Linked DNA regions of Coturnix japonica. The protein of the gene in region 1 purifies or fractionates together with the protein of each later gene. This does not show direct contact. Links are inferred from orthologs where the notes say so. Each region holds a gene or a part of one and is shown on either strand. Other genes may lie near its edges.

Region 1 (3,512 bases):
ATTATGATGCAGACGTCTTCAAAGACGAATGAGGAATGGGTGTCCCTGTCTGTGTTTACAGTTGCAGTCTGTTTTTCATTAAGAAAGCATGGGCACGGAAAGCAGCATTAAAAACCGCAGTGGTTTCTACACCTCTAAGGTAAGAGCATCTCCACATTGTACTATATGTGACCTAGCACAAAAATGGAGATTCAGAAAGCCCTGTTCTGTGGGGCCCAGACACTCTCCCAAAATAACTGAGGTGAGGCACGTTGGGTAGTGAAGTCCTCAGAGGACTGAACTTACACTGCCTGTATTTCAGCTCATCTCTATGCTAAGAAAACAGATATCGGCTTACCGTACCACCCTAACAGTGTTAGTGTTTGTGGTAAATCCTATTGAGATTACAAACCTTATGCCTAGCTGAACACAATATAATTTACTGTAACATTCTAAGGGAAAAAAAAATTACACCAATACTTCCCTGCAACCAGCATGAAGAAGGCAAATAAATTGAACCATGAATAATTTAGGCTCTAAATATACTTACAAATTGCCTGGACGATCATGGTATCTACTTTGTCTGGGCTGAATTTCAACTTGTATCGAGAAAGGCTGTGGATACAGAAATAATTTCATTAGCACACTGACCTCCCACTGCAGAGTACATCCCACCCATCCCTGTTTTACAGGAACGTGGCTGTCCATACATTCATTCATACCAGCTCAACTTTATAGTGCTGACCACTCCCACCTGTGACCACTGAGGAAACCCTGACCACACGACCTTTCTGAGCAACTGTGACATACACATGCATATGCTATGAAAAAAGTGAAAGCTAAGGCCAACTGTACCACAAGCATCAGACTGAGCACAAACACTGTGGCAGGAAATAAGTTTCTGGTTTCCTTCTGCAATGCTTCCCACAAAAATTATTTGTCAATAGCACTTTCAGTTCTGCAGCAGTTGAAAGTGATCCACAAAACACAACCTACACTGCAGCAAATATCAGCAATGGTAGCAAGAAGTAATAGAAGAAACACCTGGCTTTTGACATATGATTAAAATTTCTACAGTAAAACACATGATATCCACAAGGGCTTAAATGTTCCAATTATTGTTTTTTTAATATATGAATGTCTACATTCTAGACATCATTAGCAGCAACAAATGCATCTTCAAAGTATTAGCTACAACAAAGCAGTTCTCTAACTTGCCAATGGCTACAGAACAAGTTCATATCAAAAAAGGGATTAAAAGTTGCTCATGAGGGCATGCCTGACCCTGTGCTGATCCAGCAATTCTTTTCTCCTTTACTACTCCACCAAGCCTAGCAAGGCACGATGGTGAGAAGGGAAATACATCTCTGCCTTTAATATTTACATTATACACATTACACATGCACATATGCCAGTGTAAATCAAGAAATCATAATCCTCCCATCTCTAAATGGCAATGGAGTTTTAAACTAACCATTCAACTACTACAGAGACATTTCATACCAAGCTCTGTAGTGAAGGGAAAGGAAGCTATCAACTTTGGGATGAGGCTGAAGCCTTTTCCCAAGAAGGTGGTTGCAAACTGGAAAATCCCTGTGAAACAAGGCTTCAGATGCACATGTATGTTGACTTATAAAGTGAATATGAAACCATACCACATAGAGACATCTGAAGCAGCAAAGAGCAGCCAAGGACACAGGAGTAGAGCAGTGACAGGATGAAACAGAGCTGTGCTAGGAACTCACCTGTGTGCCAGACCCAGACACATAGCTGCCATCTCTCTGGAAGGGAGGCCTGTAATAAGCCCTTCAATCTGTGAACGAATCCCTCTCATCAGCTCTGTAACCATCGGGCTGTGTATACAACTCAAATTCAGCTTATCCTGTAAGATGGAAGTCATTGAGCCTAAGTCAGACATGACAATATTTCTCTAAATCCCTTCTTCCAGAGCTTTATCTCATTACACCTGGCTTTCCTAAGGCAATTCTGTGGTCATTCAACAGGTTCAAGTCTTTTTTCATGCTTAAGGTAACGACAACTTCATTTAACTACACTAACAATCCCAGTTTGAAGAGATGTATAATTCAGCCTCTGTTTAAATAATTAAGTCAGAGTCCTTTGTGGTATTCACTTCAACACTGGACTCTTCTCCGTTTGCACCCCACTACAATCTCCTAACACAGGATGAGAACATGGTCAGAATAAAACTCTCTGGAACAGGCAGCAATCAGACATAAGTGTGAGCCTAGGATTGGACAGCTTGGAGATGTCAGAGAAAGTAGACCACCTCTACAGTACTTCTCCCTTCCTCTGGTAGGCAAGAGCTGGAGACATTTGATCATAAGGAACAGTGATTCTCTACACACCACAAACATCACGGGGGCAGCAGGTTACATTGCTAATCATTTTTATCTTTCCAAAACCCGTCTACAAGATCTCAGTAGCATGAAACAGAAAGACAAAGACAAAAAGAAAAACAGCAAAGTCAATTATCACCTTTATGACACCACCAAGTTTAGCATCTGCTACAGCCAACTGTTCGTGGGCATCTTTTGCCACTATCTTCTTGAGAATTTTCTTCAAGTTCTTGCTGAGTTTGCCTTCTACAAGAGCCGTGGATGCTGTAGAAAACAAGACCAAAGATGCAGTTTCTTCCCTTTCCTAAAGCCTGTGACAATATGGCTTCTAACTCGGTATTATTTTGACTGCCACAGTAGCTTTAGCCCGAGCTGCAATACCACAATACCAGCTAAAATAAAAATAGAAGGAAATTATCTTCTTGCCCTTTTGAAGACCTAGATCAAGAATCACCTTCCTATCTGCTGTGCCTTGCTCCATGTGTCTTCAGTCCAGTTTCTCTGCATTTTGCTCATGAAATGCTACTAGTACATAATGCATCTTAGATGTAAAATTCACATTTCCAAAAGCCAAGTTCTAATGGAACATTTTGTATACAGTTTAATTAACCAATCATTTGCCAGGTCCCTCTTAAATCTTAAATTGAGCAATGACTTATTTGCATCCTGTGCTGACAGTAACATATGGTCCTTCAAAGCCCAAGAAAAAAAACAAACACTGCACACATGGACTGGGGAGTCAGAAAAAGACCCTTTTAGTATACACCACATAGACTGAAGCATTTTAAATGGATTCTTTCCATATTCAAGTATTAAATGATCTGCAAGACATTTACAACCCCACACAATACATTTTAAGACGGCACAAATACAACCCTGATACAAATACACTGAACTTCTGTGGCTGATACATCTTCAACATAATACAGAGTACACAAGCCAGTGATTGATTTACAGAATCAATAAAACTAGGCTCCCCAGTACAAAAAAGACAGGGATCTCTTGGAAAGAGTCCAGTGGAGGGCCACAAAGATGGTGAAGGGCCTGGAGCATCTCCCCTATGAGAGAGACTTAGGGAACTGGGTCTGTTTAGCCTTGAGAAAAGAAGGCTGAGAGGTGACTTAATCCAGGTTTATAAATACCTGAGGTGTGGGAGCCACAGTGGCGAGGCTGGCC
Region 2 (3,988 bases), on another chromosome or scaffold:
GAGACATAGGGGATATTTGTTAAACATCTCTCAGAATCATAGAACCATAGAATGGCCTGGGTTGAAGAGGACCACAATGATCACCCAGTTTCAACCCCCTGCTATGTGCAGGGTTGCCAATAACCAGACCAGGCTGCCCAGAGCCACATCCAGCCTGGCCTTGAAATGCCTTCAGGGATGGGACATCCACAGCCTCCTTGGGCAACCTGTTCCAGTGCGTCACCACCCTCTGTGTGAAAAACTTCCTTTTAATATCTAACCTAAACCTCCCCTGTCTCAGTTTAAAGCCATCACCCAGACTTATACAGGATCCATCCTCACACTGCAGCTCTGCTTCTCCCTTCTGGTCACAGAATCACAGAATGACCCGGGTTGGAAGGGACCTCAAGGATCATGTAGTTCCAACCCCCCTGCCTGGCAGGGCCACCAAACATACACATTTACTAGATCCAGGTTGCCCCAGGGCCCCGTTCCAACCTGGTCTTGAAACCCTCCAGGACGGGGCATCCACAACTCCCTGGGCAGCTGTTCCAGGGCTAACCACTCTCCTAGTGAAGAACTTCCCCCTAACATCCAACCTAAATCTGCCCTCTTTTAACTTAAACATTTCCCCGTGTCCTGCTATTGTCAGCCCTTTTGAAGAGTTTACTCCCCTCCTGGGTGTAGGTTCCCTTCAGGTATTGAAAGGCTGCAATGAGGTCACCCCGCAGCTTTCTCTTCTCTAGGCTGAACAAGCCCAACTCCCTCAGCCTGTCCTCATAGTGGCGGTGCTCCAGCCCCCTGATCATCTTTGTGGCCCTCCTCTGGACCCTTAACAAAATCTCCATGTCTTTCTTGTAATGAGGGCTCCACACCTGGACACAGTACTCCAGATGGGGAAAGCACTGTGGCAGTACAGCACTGCCACACCTCAGCACTGTCACACCTCAGCCCGTTCCCACTCATCCCGTTCCCGCCCCCTCCCCTCAGCGCTGAGCTCACCCTGCCCCAGCTCCTCATCCGGGTCCTGTTCCGCGCAGCGCGGGAAGCCGGGCGGCAGCGCGGGGCCGATCATTTCGCGCGCCATGTTGGGGGGCGGGGCCGAGCCGGTGACGTCAGAGCTGCGCCGGCTTAACCCCGGAAGAAGGAGACGGGAAGCGGAAGTGACGCATTTAGTGGCGGCCGGGCTGTAGGAGCGGCTGGTCACGCGGCGGGCATGCAGCCGGGCGGCGAGTTGGGCTCCGCCGTCAGCCCGTTCGGATGGTTCCCACCGCTTCGCCCGCCGCTCTTTTGCCCTCCGCCCCCTTGGGAACATGGCTTATGGCCGCCGCCCGACGGCTACGCCCCGCCGCCGGCATGGTACCCGCCGGCCTACCAGGAGCCCACGAGGCGGCCGCAGGGTAGTGAGTGGGGGGGGTCCCGTCACCTTGTTTCCTTTTCCCTTCTATTTAGTACTTATTACTATTATTTTCTCTGATCCTCCGACCTCGATTTGAGTCTGCAGGGTCCCTCTCCCCCCCCCCACATCTGGTCCCACATGCTTGTGAGACTCATTGGCTGCAGCAATTGAAACCGACTGTTGTGTTGTGTGGGTTTTTCGTTTGTTCTTTAAGGTGGAAATGGCCATTTTCAGCAGGAATGGCAAGGAGAGCAAGCACCTGGCTTCCATAAGCGTTCTCCTGGTGGAAACAACAAGCAGAAGGTACAGATGGGCTGTATGCCCTTTGGAGTTTCCTTTCTGTTATAACTGTTCTGTGATGCTGGGATGGAGGTGGCCATGTGGGGCTTGTGTCCCTGTTTTGGATGTGCATCACGAAGATGATCAGGGGGCTGGAGCACCTCCCCTATGAGGACAGGCTGAGGGAGTTGGGCTTGTTCAGCCTGGAGAAGAGAAGGTTGCGGGGTGACCTCATTGCAGCCTTTCAATACCTGAAGGGAACTTACTCCCAGGAGGGGAGTAAACTCTTCAAAGGGCTGACAGTAGCAGGACACGGGGAAATGGTTTTAAGTTGAAAGAGGGAAGATTTAGGTTGGATGTTAGGGGGAAGTTCTTCACTAGGAGAGTGGTTAGGCCCTGGAACAGGCTGCCCAGGGAGGTTGTGGATGCCCCGTCCTTGGAGGTGTTCAAGACCAGGTTGGACGGGGCCCTGGGCAACCTGATCTAGTAAATGTGTATGTTTGGTGGCCCTGCCAGGCAGGGGGGTTGGAACTACATGATCCTTGAGGTCCCTTCCAACCCGGCTCATTCTGTGATTCTGTGCATGACAAGCAAAATAAGTGTGGTTCCCTTGCATGACTGAGGAAGTGATTCTTCCTCCTGGACTGTCCTCGTGAGGCTTCACCTGCAGTATTTTATCCGGGATATGAATTTGGAGTCAGTCTAGAACAGGCCACAGGGATGAGGGCTGGAGTGTTTCTCCTGTAGAGTAAGGAAGGGAGAGTGGGGTATGCTCTTGGATGTCAGGGGGAAGCTCTTTACAGTGGGAGTGGTGAGGTGCTGGAACAGGCTGTCCAGAGAGGTTGTGTGTGCTCTGTCACTGGAGGTGCCGGAGACCAGGTTGGGTGGAGCCCTGTTCTAGTGCTAGATCTGGAGATTGGTGGCCCTGCCTATGGCAGGGGAGTTGGAACTTGATCCATGGGGTCCCTTCCAACCCAAAGAGTTCTATGGTAAGTGGAGGCTCTGGAGAAGCCTCATTGTGGCCTTCCAGTACTTAAAAGGGGCATATAGGGAAGTTAGGGAGGGGATATTCATATTCATCAGATAGCGTGAGAGAGCAAGAGGTAGCAGTTTCAATCTCATCTATATCTACGTTGTTAACTATAAGGAAGAAATAATCTGCTTCGGGCAGTGAGGCACTGGCACAGCTGTCCAGAGAAGCTGTGGGTGCCCCATCCCTACAGGCATGTAAGACCACATTGGATGGGGCCCTGGGCAGCCTCAGCTGCTGTGTGGCAGCCCTGCACATGGCAGGAGGCTGGAAACTGGTTGGGCTTTAAGTTTCCTTCCAACTGAGGCCTCAAACCCTGAGCTCAATGAAGGGATCAAATCCTAAAATGCATAATCTCAATAAAAGCCTTTATTTTGATGGTGCCCAGATGCATAAAACACTTCAGTGGTTCATTATGTTTTCAGACCCTGACAACCTCATCACTTTGCTGTGATGGTGGGAGGGGGAAAGGTCCCTACTGCCCCTTGAGCTCCTACCTGGGATATTAGAACAGGCGTAGACTTGACTCTATGGGGAGGAGATGTGTGGAGCTGTAGCCCTGGCTCTTCTCCAAGCTGCTGCTAAGCCTGTGTCTGCAGAAGTGATTATAGAAGGGTAGTAGCAGGAAGAACTGAGTGTACTGCATTTTGTTTAAAAAATAAATGATATGAATTGTTAATGTATAGCTTTGTTAATATAGATCATTTTGAATGTTTTATTGGAATTATTACTGAAATATTTCCGATTTTATTAAATCTTATCTAATTAAACAGGGAGCACCTTGTAACCTTTTAACTTCTATGCTGGATTTTTATTTTTTTTTTCCTTCCTCTTAGAACAAAAAAAAGAAGGAGCCAGTTTTCTCTCACTATTGCGATACCTGTGACCGAGGCTATAAAAACCAGGAGAAGTACGATGAACATATTTCACAGCATATACAGGTTGAACTTTACTTGCGTTATTTTTATTTCAATCTCTAGTTTCATATATGAACTGTAGAGCTCACATATGCCAGTTCACGGAGTGCTGTAGGCACTCTTATGATGATAGACCTAGCAACAGATTCCTGAGCTGCTAGGAGATTTTTTTATACACTGTGTCTAGGGAAGCTTTCAGTTGTGTTTTTGGCTTTATTGCTCAAGTCATTTTAATGTTCTTCTGAATCATTGTTAATTCACTCCAGCATTATGAGCAACTTCACTGACATTAGCGTAGCACATGAAATATGTGTGAAAATGCTTTATGTGGTAGAGATTTTATGATGCATTCCCTTACTGCAAAGAAGTAACACAATTTGAAGT
Region 3 (4,110 bases), on another chromosome or scaffold:
AACACAGCTTGAATTATTCAGTGTTGTGGCAAGGGAAGGGGCTTGTAAGTCACCTCGCGCAAAGCACGTATCTGTGATGTGCAAATGAGGCTGTGGACTTCAAGAAACCCAGTATAATTGCTCTTTGAAAGCATTTGCATTCATAACCTCCACCTTTTTCTTCCTGCCTGACTGTTCCCTCATTTACACCATTATTTCTCTTCTGACAGGATTTTAGAGATTTCAAAGACCTTACCCACAGCGCTGCTGTGCAGAGACAGTGAGAGATTACTGAGATCGGAAGGACCACTATTGGAAAGGCACTTTCTAACATCTCTTTGCTCTGCTAGGAGGCTGACCCACCAGGAAGAAACAGGTGTCACAGTCCTATGGCTAGAAGGATTTCAGCTAATATAAAGTGACAGTGGGAGAAAGAAATACCGTACTATTTGATAGTAAATCCTGTAGCGCCCTTTTTAAGTTCACACTTCCATTTCTGTGTGGATCTTAGTATAGATGAGAAAGCACTGAGGCATGAGACCAGAACAGAGGGTGTTCTGGGAAGAGCCATAAGCCAGAGCGCTCAGTTCTCCATGAAGGTTAAAGATCTGTGAAGATGCTCAGGAAAGCTGTGGGAGCTTTATTAACATGCCAGTTCTGCTCCTTGGGGGAGAGGGAAATTAATTACCCTATTCTAGTTGGAATGAGAGGCCCTTTTCTGTGGGGAATAGCAAGATGTAATGGAGAACATTGGCAGGAGCATGGAATTGGGTATTCCAGTGGTCTACTGCCATTTTGTTGGGGGAGCTGAATGTGGAGAAGCCTGGGTCAGGGAAATCCCAGATTCTTCGAGGTCCCTTCCAACCCAACCCTACAAAAAGGGAATTCCTTGGTGCTGTTAGGCCGTGTGGGAGCTCTTACCGAAGAGCGTTCCTATCAGACAGAGGCAGCCCCTCTCGTCTGGAGCCAGCAGCTGGACGACCGGCAGCGCCTGCCAGGCCAGGGCATCGCGCAGCCGGGACAGCGCGTGTTTCTTCCGCACCAGCTGCGGGTGGGAGACAACCGTCAGCATCCAGGCCTGCCCGAACGGCACTAAAAGCGTTACCCCGCGTTCCGTGCCCCTGCCTCAAGGCAGCAGCGGGCTGCGGGGTACCGAGGCCTACAAGGAAGGGGAAGCCGCACCGAGGCGCCGCCATCGCCCAGCGTCTCCACAGCGCAGGCGAGGCACAGCGGCGGTCGGAGCGGCAGGTTCCACCTCGCACCGTGCCGATCACGCACGCTCTCGCAGCCCGCCGCCATCGCCTCACGGCCGCTAGGGCGCGCCATGGGCAGGCTCCCGGCGAGGCACGGCCCGCCTCTTCCCTCCGCCGTTCCCTCAGTTCCGGCGGCGTGCGGCCCGCTGCGCGCACGAGCGTTGGGCCCCGAGTGTCCGAGAGCTGCACCGCGCCGCCGCCATGGTGAGCGGGGTCGGGGGGGAGGCGGGATGCGCCGGGCAGGGTCCGCTCCCCTGCACACCGAGGCGGCGGGCGGGCAGCGGGGAGCACGTGGGGGCCGCGCTGCGTGGGGCTGTGCCGAAGGGCGTCCGTGGGTGGGTTGTGGGCTGGTACACGTGATACACGCATTCATAGGTGCATGAGGGGAGGTTGTGGCGAGGTGGGGGCAGCCTCTTCTCCCCGGTAGGAGCTGTAGGATGAGAGGTGATGGCCTCAAGTTGCGCCAAGGGACGTTCAGGTTGGATATCAGGAAGCGTTTCTCAGTAGGAGCGGTGCTGCGGTGGCACGGGCTGCACAAGGAGGTGGTGCAGTCACCATCCCTGGAGGTGTTCCAGAGCCGTGTGGATGTGGCACTGAGGGATGTGGTCAGTGGGCATGGTGGGGGTGGGCTAAAGGTTGGACTGGGTGATGCTGGTGCTCTTTTTCAACCTTAGTGATTCAGTAATGGACTACACGTGGTAGACATGCTGCCTCTCTAATGCCCCTCGGAACAAACTCTTTTGCCCCTGCTGTACCACTCTCCCATCTTTCCCTTTCTCCGGTTTCTAGAGTGAGGCAGAGGTGAACCCCAAAGCTTACCCACTGGCTGACGCGCAGCTCACCAAGACGCTGCTGGACCTTGTGCAGCAGTCCTGCAACTACAAGCAGCTACGCAAAGGAGCCAATGAAGGTGGGAATACTGTGTGAAGCTGTGGCTGGAGATTGTATTTTCTTCTCCAGCTGTGGCCATGAATATTATATAGCTCGGTCTGGCACGAGTGACCCTTTCCTTCCTCCTCTTAGATGCTCAAAGTGTGTTCCTGGTGCATATACTGTGATCATATATGATGCGGCACTGAGATGACCAGGTGTCTTGCCAGCTTAAAATCATAAGATAACTGGGAGTTGAGGGGAGCTCTGTAGTTCAGACAGCTCAGAGAATGTCCCTTCACAGCGTGACTGAGCTGCTCAAGGCCATATCTGGTTAAGCTTCATCTGAACAAAATAAAAGTCCTTAAGCGTGGAAACTCCACAGTCTCCTATGGCTTAAACTGCTCTTCTGCCAGGATTTTTTTTCTCCTCATATCTCCAGAGTTTCCCCAAGGCAGCAGTCAGAGTCTGCAGTCACAGTCCTTTAAGCTGTGCGTTCATGGGGATAACCTGGCTCCATCCTCGCTGCAGTCTCCTTGGAGTGGCAGAAGGCAGCAGTCACTCTCCTCCATCCCACCTTGGCTGGTTCTTCTCCAGTCTGCACAGATCCAGCTCCCTTGGTCTCTCATCTGCAGAGTGCCCCAGCTGCTCTCCCTGTGCTGGCCTCACTCCTTTGTGAAGGATGCAGTAGCTCAGATGTGACCCTATGAATAATCCCTCCCTGGGACCTGCTATGGGTTTTCCAAGGGTCAACTTCCTTCTTCTCATGGGTGCACTGCTGACCACAAACTGTTCATTCTGGACTTGGAGCTGTGCTATTACATGGCCCTGTAGCTGATGGTTTTCTTTGGCCTGCCCTCTTGCTGCCCCTTCTTGCTCGTGCTGACATCAGCATCTCCTAGTGTTGTTCACAAGATGTGCTTCACAGAACCTAGACTTACTTTCAGTTTCTTTTTGCAGCCACCAAAACACTGAACCGAGGAATAGCAGAGTTCATAGTGATGGCTGCCGATGCTGAACCCTTGGAGATCATCCTGCACCTACCTCTTCTCTGCGAGGACAAGAATGTTCCTTATGTGTTCGTGCGCTCCAAGCAGGCCCTAGGCCGGGCGTGTGGGGTTTCCCGGCCTGTCATCGCCTGCTCCATCACTATCAAGGAGGGATCGCAGCTAAAACCTCAGATCCAGTCTGTACAGCAAGCTATAGAGAGACTGTTGGTCTGAGCGCCCTTGAGCTTGAGTGTGTGTGGAATGGGTAAAGGTGAAGTCAGGGGGAATTAATGTCTAGCTTTAGTTAATGACGTTATAGTTTTGATATCAGTGTTCCATTTCAAAAATCACATCTTTGTTTAATAGCGGCTTAATTCTTCAAGTGTCTCTGCCTCTTCTCCCCTCCCTTTCTCTATTATTCCACTCCAACTCTCATTCTCGTTGTATTACTTCTTGAAAAGTGATTGTACAACTGTATTTACTGTTTGACGTTCAAAGGAAAAAAAAATCCCCTCCAATCTCCATATCTGCCTGCTCAGGGCTTTTGTAATCTACCCATTAGCTTCCTAATGCTTCAGCCTCTTACAGGTGTATCTTTGTTTCAGAATGGTTTATTCTATGGGGGAGTAAGGTGTGTTGGTTCCGCAGCACAGTACGTGTATTTGGGCTGCCAGAGTTGTTGCTTTGAAGCGAAGCAGCATAGACTAAAGTGTAGGACTGTGGCTACTGTGTAGCAAGCAGCTGGTGGAGCCAGGATCAGTACACATAGCACAACCCTGCCTTCAGATCAGGCAAGAGGCTTCTCTAAGAGGGTGTATGGGGAGCTGACATCGTACGGCAGTGCACAAGGGGAAATCTCTAATTTCACTTATTTTTAAATGCTGTTTTTTTAAAAAGAAAATAAAATTACTGACAAATCTAAATACAGGAACGGCCAGAATTGTTATTCTCAGTTTTCTTTGCATGGATTGCAACAGTGATCTGCAAAGCTTGGGCTTCCTAAGACATTTCAATACAAA

Evidence for each region. The genes of interacting proteins can lie anywhere in the genome.
Region 2: the proteins of NOP58 (region 1) and NUFIP1 purify together in Homo sapiens (co-immunoprecipitation; 3 studies listed by BioGRID and IntAct, with this or other methods). This does not show direct contact. The link is inferred for Coturnix japonica from reciprocal best matches to the Homo sapiens genes NOP58 and NUFIP1.
Region 3: the proteins of NOP58 (region 1) and SNU13 fractionate together in Homo sapiens (co-fractionation; 3 studies listed by BioGRID and IntAct, with this or other methods). This does not show direct contact. The link is inferred for Coturnix japonica from reciprocal best matches to the Homo sapiens genes NOP58 and SNU13.

What each region holds. Positions count from the first base shown.
Region 1 is NC_029522.1:10,257,725-10,261,236, reverse strand, and holds part of NOP58 (nucleolar protein 58), read right to left. Parts: intron 2,601-3,512; coding exon 2,476-2,600; intron 1,862-2,475; coding exon 1,725-1,861; intron 595-1,724; coding exon 530-594; intron 1-529. UniProt on the Homo sapiens protein: Required for the biogenesis of box C/D snoRNAs such as U3, U8 and U14 snoRNAs. Part of the small subunit (SSU) processome, first precursor of the small eukaryotic ribosomal subunit.
Region 2 is NC_029516.1:150,056,786-150,060,773, reverse strand, and holds the start of NUFIP1 (nuclear fragile X mental retardation-interacting protein 1), read left to right. Parts: upstream 1-1,188; 5' UTR 1,189-1,195; coding exon 1,196-1,382; intron 1,383-1,592; coding exon 1,593-1,681; intron 1,682-3,523; coding exon 3,524-3,628; intron 3,629-3,988. Other genes in the region: GPALPP1 (GPALPP motifs-containing protein 1), read right to left, coding at 982-1,066. UniProt on the Homo sapiens protein: Binds RNA.
Region 3 is NC_029516.1:45,199,843-45,203,952, forward strand, and holds SNU13 (NHP2-like protein 1), read left to right. Parts: upstream 1-1,310; 5' UTR 1,311-1,433; coding exon 1,434-1,436; intron 1,437-2,021; coding exon 2,022-2,142; intron 2,143-3,062; coding exon 3,063-3,325; 3' UTR 3,326-4,014; downstream 4,015-4,110. Other genes in the region: MEI1 (meiosis inhibitor protein 1), read right to left, coding at 901-1,024, 1,162-1,305.